2 linked regions of the Drosophila melanogaster genome follow. The protein of the gene in region 1 purifies or fractionates together with the protein of each later gene. This does not show direct contact. Each region holds a gene or a part of one and is shown on either strand. Other genes may lie near its edges.

Region 1 (3,741 bases):
GAAAAATGTTTTGATATGTTTTTATAATTTTATTAGACTTGTAAATTTCTATCGATTTGCCAAAAAAATTTGCCACGCCCACTCTAACGCCCTAAAACCGCCCAAAACTGCCACGCCCACACTATTGCAAAATGTTTACATTTTTTTCATAATTTTATAAGTCTTGTAATATTCTATCGGTTAGCCAAACAATTTTTTTCACGTCCACTCTAACGACCTTAAGCTTCCAAACCGGTCACGCCCACACTTTTAAGCCATTTTTAATTTGTTTTTCATTTTATTCCCCATCTATCGATATCCCAGAAAAATTATGAAATTTCGCGTTCGCATTCGCACTAGCTGAGTAACGGGTATCTGATAGTCGTGCAACTCGACTTAAGCATTCTCTCTTGTTTTACATTTCAGTTTTTGGCCACAAGCCGCCCGTATGCATGACCCACGCTTTCAAAATTTTTTATTATATATTTCTTTTTTTTATTTTTTTCCCAACTTCAATCGATATGGAAGAAATTTCTCGTTTGCTCTTTCACTAGCTGAGTAACGGGTATCTGATATTTGGGTATCTTAACTTCGCTTGTTTTTTAGTGAAAGCCATTTTTTTCAAATGGTTTGTACACCTTTATGAGAATGTTATTGCTTTTATTGTATCTCGTAAACTAAATATATGGTAGAAATGGTCTTGATCTTTTAAACACAAGTCATAGGGTTTTCCGTTTGGAATCCACAAGAGTATATGTCGTAAAAGTCCTTGTTCTGTTTAAGGCCCAGATAGAAGACATGCTCGGCCAGATCCTTCCCAAACTCACAGAAGTTCTGAGCGTAAAGAGTAAAAAATATACGCTTGTTGTCAAGATGGTACTTTTGAAGGACGCCATTTTCCTGATCGTATATCCCACTGTTCTGTGGAGGCGAGTTGATCCAGGCGCTGTAGTCTATCCAGGCCGCTCGGAAGCTCTTTAAGTAGATCACAGCCAGCATTCTGGCCTCATCCAGAACATTAACGAACTGCGGCAGCCTTAAACACTCCACATCTTCGCGAAACCGCGTGAAATCACGCTGACGCTCCAGACTATTAAAAAGCATCATGTACAAATGGACCGTAAACGTGGAGTAGAAGTAGGACATGGGCTTGTTGCGGCTCTGAAAGAGGTACATGCTCCAATCCAGCATGGTGCGCTGAACCCCCAATTCGTATGTTGAATTCAGTTTTCTGTGCTGCTCCAGATTGCGAACGTTGTGTTCGTAGCTCTCCCGGTAGATCCGCAGGTCCTTGTACTCCCGGCTCAGGTCTCTAGCATGGAAGTAGACTCGCGGCGTTTTAAATTTCTGCTTATACGTGGCCAGCTTGCTGAGAATGGGATTCGACTCTCTGTCCTTCTGAAACCTGACGACGAAGCGGTCCAAAATGCCCAGAAAGTCATCCAGCTCGTGGGATTCTCCATTGAGCATGTTTTTTGTAACTATATACCCGAAAAGTGGCTTGAAATACTCATAGGTCTCACGATAGCAGTCTTCCAGCGCGTGGTGCACGTTGCAGGAGATGAAGAAGTCCAGCGTCTTCTGCTTAGCCTCGAATGGCTCTGGATCGTTCTGCAGCTCGGTCAGCAACTGCATAAGATCGCCCATTTGCGGCATGTGTCCTTGGATAGGGTATATGCATTAGGCACTCCCCCAACACAGGCTTTCCTCACTTACCCATGATCGAAAAGAGGGGTCGATTGCGGCTACAGACGTAGTCGAAATAGCTCTCGCAGGCATACTTTTCGGTGTTGATGGAGCCCTGTATACGAACCGACAATTTTTCAAGTTCCCTTATCCGCAGCTCCGACAGGTGCCGCACGTATCCCACTTGGCAATGCCCTGAACCAGTCAACATCAACAGAATAAGCGCTACGGATGCGCCGATTGCAAGACTTGAGGTTGTCATCGCAGAGCTCAAGTCACTGGCAACCCAGCTTTTGCGCCAGCCTATCGGACCCCTCAACGGATGTCGGATTTCGTTGCACAGTAGTTCGAGAGAGAGTCACTTTTCAAATACGTCTATCACTGGGCAACGAAACTATTTAACTTCAATTGAAATGTAAGCACAAAACTCCGTATCCCCTGGTATTAAATAACTAAAATAACTTATTGAATGTTTCAATTTTTAGTAAAAACTTTTTTATTACTTTTGACAATATTTAAAAAGATTTTCTGTCCAAGTGGACAATAATTAAATGATTGTGGGCTGACATTGACATAATTTATTTTTATCATAATGAACGTTTGAAAAGCATAGATAGTATTGAAAAATGCCCTATTAGTGCAACTCAGTATATGTTTTTATGGTGTGTTTTCAACATTTTCAACTTATGCTTCTTCAACGTGTTTAACCAAAAATTTATCCGGACTTTAGAAGAACGTTTTGTTGCAGACAGTTACAAACAGTTCTCCAAAATCACAATAATCAATCTTTACCGTTTTACCTTTTTTATTTTATCGCGCACATATAAACGGTCTAAAAACCAATTAAACGCTCACATTCCTATTTTATCATTTTTACTTGAAAATGCAAAAACACCCGAAAGTTCTCGGGTTGTTTGTTGTTTTTATATTGTTGAATTATTAGAACGGATTTATATATGATCTTATTACACTCGCACCACAGTGCATTGCTCAATTCGAGGTCTTATTTTAATTCAGTGAGTGAGTTCCTATGCTTAATTATATTTCCGAAGCGATAAGAATGTCAAGTCCTATCAGGAAAATTTCTCTCCCACTGTTTTTACGATCGCGCTATTCTGGAATATGGGCTTTGCATCGTTTCACAAGTATTACGAGTTATATCTGACTAAGCGTAGACAACAGTGTGCAGTTGCTTATGAAAGGAATGATTTAAATATACATATACATACATAATATACATATATTATATTATATTTGTTGGTTTATAAAAAAAAAGTATTTTTATTGATCAAAAACTTAAGCGAATGTCGGAGACAAATTCACGTCTTACACAATTGAAGTATGAATAAAATCTAAATCTAATTTGCAAAGCGAACGCTTAGCAAACCCTTGGCTGAGCTTATTTACTTCTTCATATTGAGCGTACATAGGCTCTCATTTATGTTTACGTTAATTAGGCGCTCTCTTGAGTGGATTGCGCATGGATATAGATCAGCCGAGTTTGAGCTACGTGGAAAGTTTTGACCCTTAAAGCTGTGTTAGCAGTTTTGACCCTCTGGTGGGAGTCGCGAATGCGGCTGCGGATGTTTATGTCTGTTGGATTGGGTGCCTTCTTGAGTGGATCACTCATGGGTACTGATCAGCCGAGAACTTGAGCTGCGTAAGCGGTTTTGACCCTTTGGTGGGAATAACTGATTCGGCAGCGGATGTTAATGTTTACATTAGGGTAGGCTGGATTTGTTATTGTCACCAGAATTTGGGTTCTTATTGGATACATGATTTTATGACTTATATCCTAAGGCATTCTATGATTTTGTGTATGGCTGTTCCTATGTGGTTATGTATGTGTGTGTGTAAGTATATGTGGTCTTATACTATGGCACATATGCTACTTCCCCATCCTTTAAATTTAGCCTGTCCTCAGGCGGATATTCTAGGATACAATACAGGATTAGTATCAAATACTGTATTTATATTTTCTGTTGTTGTGTTATTTTGTTGTTCTATTTGTTGTGGATTCTCTTTTTTATATTTAACAATTAGTTTTTTGGGAATGCCTTTATATTTATAAATAAA
Region 2 (3,759 bases), about 26 Mb from region 1:
CACACATAAATTTTACAATTCACCTTGAAATGTAAGCATAAAAGGCGTCCCCGATGGAAATCGCAATACCAAACCGGTTCAAAGACTTTGCTGAACATTATAAAAGCGAAAGATGAGCTGGGAAAAAGGCTGGAGCGAAATGGGCGCAAAAACCAGACAAGGAAGTGGGCCAAATAGCAGCTCCTTGTCGACATTGTCCTCACTTTCATTGCATTCCGCACATGGATGGAACTGGTGATCCACTTGGCAGCCACTTTCGTTTTCGCATCCAACTCTATTATTGCCAACCGGTCGTCATTGCCGAACTAATTAGCAAACAAATAATACTGATCAAATGGACGTAAAGGCGAAAGGCCGAAAAAGCAGGCGGGGAGCAACGAACCAGATTGCGGCTAAATTATAAATTTCATAAATTAACACACCTTGCTCGTAAGTTAATTGAAGCTATTGAATCCGATTGTATTTTCAAAAATACACGCCTAGCCATTAATCATCCAAACCAGAGTCTAATTGGTTAAGTATTTCCAATTAGACAAGAAATATCCCGCTAATAAGAGCGGCTAAATGAGGTTTGTGTCCGTGCTAAATAGGAGTCACTTCAACTGGGTTTTAATCATAGACATTTACCAGGTACATTATGTTATATATGTTATACATTTAAAAAAGGATTCTGTTATATAAAGAGTAACTTTATTACCCTTTAAAGTAATTGTATCCTCTTTACAAACAGGTTTGAAAACAGTTTAATAAACTGGTTATTTTTAAGTCACTGATTGACTACCTAATATTACTTATTCATGTAATTTGCTACTGAAATGTATAGTTAAAGGAAGAAAACAATTTGTTTCAAATCTATTGATTCCTTGCTGAACTAGGCCATCCTTTTTCGCACAGTTGGCAACGCAGTGTTTATACCCTTTGCATTGGAAGATGAAGTGCACGGGAAACGAGACCAAAACAAATGCCTACAATTGACTACGTGACTGCGGCACTTCCTTCTTTTCGCCCCCTGATCATCATTATATAAACACACCCAGACGGACGTAAAAAGTACATATACACATTGACGCCTATGCCGCACAGACTTTTTCGAGTCCAGATATTTAGAGGCTTATCGCCAGCGGAGATGGAGGAGGAGGGAGGAGCATCAGCAGTAGGAAATGGGGAATATGTGGGGGCAAAAAGCGGTCAATTGAATCGCCATGTGGTGACAACAAGTGCATATAGAATAGTATGTGAACACTCAAATCAGTTTAGTTTTTTTGTCACAGCGCAGCAGAGCATTTCTCTCTAATCAAAATCGAATATTCAATTTAGATGGCCCACATTCCCGTCATTCAAGTAAAAAGACTCGATTATTGTTATCAGTGCACGACGGATGCCGGCAGGAGGAACACGTCAGAAGTTCTAGAAAATGTATCTGTGGAATTTCTTTAATTTACCCTGTGTTTCTTATGCGAACTTGTTGCTGGATCTCAATGGATGTCAATGAAACTGGCCGCCTTCTTTGTTTACAATTCAACGAGAACACCTCGATTGCATTGCCCACCCGCACTTCGTATCTTATAGATACATTTTATGCACTCTAACTGGAAGCACACAAATCACGTTTGTTTTAGATATTTTCGTTTAGACTCGAATTTAAGGATTGTTTTCTCTGGTCCCCCGAGGAGTAAATTCCCTTTTTCACAGTTTTGACTACAAAAATATAATTTGTGTTTCTGTTTAATTCGCGTGCGCGCGCCGAGAAATACCGACTGGAACTGATTTTGTTTTGCTGCCGCCTCGAATATAGATAAATACCGACTTCCAGATCCAGAAAGAGAGAGAATTTCTGGTTTCTGTTTCGAATTTAAGAGAAGAGCACCAATTTCGAATTTCGAAGTTCAATTTAATACCACAAAAGAGAAAAAGAGTTGAAAGAGAGAAACTTGTACAGCATTGTGGATTTCATTCGAACAGCTGTTTGCGGATCGTATATGGTGGCGGGCAATTTGAATTGTAATTGGTAAAAAGGTGAAGCAATGTCAAAAGACTACTAGAACAGCCATTTCGATCAAAATTAAAAACACTTCTCCTTAGTTTCAACATAATTTGGCATCTTTTTTATTCGCGTTTGCAAAAATAAAGCTTTTCCTTCGTCACTTACAAATGGTAAATAAATACATGGATTCAGTGTTGATTTTGTTTTTGATGGGCCCTACAACTGTCTGGCCAGGAATATTTATAAAATCACTCCACACGGATATCTAATCCTAGTCCTCCTTAACGGTGAAGGAATGCGTGAGTCCCTCGTAGGGATACTTTCCGCCCAGGATGTACTTGTACTCCCCGGAATGGCGAATGCGATATTCCCCGGGAAGAGTCTGCGGACTGATGTCCCAGTAGATGTCCATTTCGCTGAAGCCCAGGATCGTATTGGTTCGGTGCCAGACCATTCTGAAAAGTAACGATTTTATTAAGTACCAACATTTATAACCTCAAGCTGGCGCTTCCTACTTGGTCTCCCAGCTGGCATCCGTATAGGCCACCTTCCAGCGATCCTCGTTGATCTTTCGCTCAATGGTGAAGTAGGTTTTCTCGGTGAAGAGGTTGTTACGCGGATTTCCGGATATGTAGGTGACCTTCACCGTCTCGTTGATGCCGTACTCCTTGTTGGGCTGCGACTTCACGTAGCCAAAGTCGGTGTTTATGGGATGTCCGTCGAAGAGAACCCCGGTGTTCAGCGATAGCATCACATCATTCATGTACGGCGGACTTGGACCCGCATCCACGGTCTCATTACGCATCATGGCCTTGGTCAGGCGTTCGAAGACGTCCATGTAAATGGAGTGGGTATGGGGACCGAAGATCGTGGAGGCGGCCTCGTAACGCTGCGCCTGGTACTCCTCCGGGGTCACCGTGTAGCTGGTGTATATGTTGGTCAGTCCGGCGATGATTACCTCGGTGTCGATGCCTCCGACGGCGGAGGCAGCTGCTCGAATCTGGTTTCGCAGACGACGTCCTGCCATTGTGGTGAACTCGCAGGGCACGGCGGCTATGATCACATCGCCGATCTTTAGTAGCTGATCCGAGACAATCTTTGGCTGCCACTCATAGGGAAAGGTGGCCTTAAATATGGATAATGTACATGTTAGATATGCTTAAAGTGCACTTAGATTTTTAAATAACAGTTGCGCATTAAGTGATGACCTATAGCCTGGCTATAACTACCTTACCTTGATTTTTATGAGCTGACAACTAATTTGCGTAACGTTTCAGTTTAATTACCCCACTTAAATGTGCATTATAAAAACAAAATCCACTACATAAATTTATGTATTCTATTCCAAAATTGGTATTTTGTTCCTTTGCACTATTAAACACATTTAAATTTATTTTCTGATGCACACAACACTCAACAAAGTTCCAAACAAATGGAATGATTTTTGTGCTGCATACCTTTAGGCAATTTCAGAAATTCTTTTAAAATCGCTATTGTTTTTTTTCAGACTTGCTTTTTAGTTAATAATAATTGATTAATGGAAAAACTCACCCTGCCGGTGGCCAGAAGAATGGGCTTGGGCTCATGGCACTTGATGTCCTCCTGCGTGGGAGCAGCGATGAAGTCGCGCACAAAGTTCCACATGGGGTTGTCCGTGGTGGTTCCCTGCTCGAAGCTGAAGGCTCCAGGTCCATCGGTGGTACCAGCAGCAAAGCTATAGCCCATGGCCGGCTGACATCCCCTGATCTTGTCGACCTTCCTGCTCAGCGGATTGT

What was found.
Region 2: the proteins of CG1092 (region 1) and PH4alphaEFB purify together in Drosophila melanogaster (affinity purification with mass spectrometry, with the first as the bait; one large-scale study listed by BioGRID). This does not show direct contact.

What each region holds. Positions count from the first base shown.
Region 1 is NT_033777.3:4,265,160-4,268,900, reverse strand, and holds CG1092 (uncharacterized protein), read right to left. Parts: upstream 2,132-3,741; 5' UTR 1,928-2,131; coding exon 1,696-1,927; intron 1,641-1,695; coding exon 688-1,640; 3' UTR 585-687; downstream 1-584.
Region 2 is NT_033777.3:30,464,058-30,467,816, reverse strand, and holds the start of PH4alphaEFB (prolyl-4-hydroxylase-alpha EFB), read right to left. Parts: upstream 1,768-3,759; 5' UTR 1,443-1,767; intron 1-1,442. Other genes in the region: CDase (ceramidase), read right to left, coding at 2,256-2,439, 2,500-3,110, 3,536-3,759.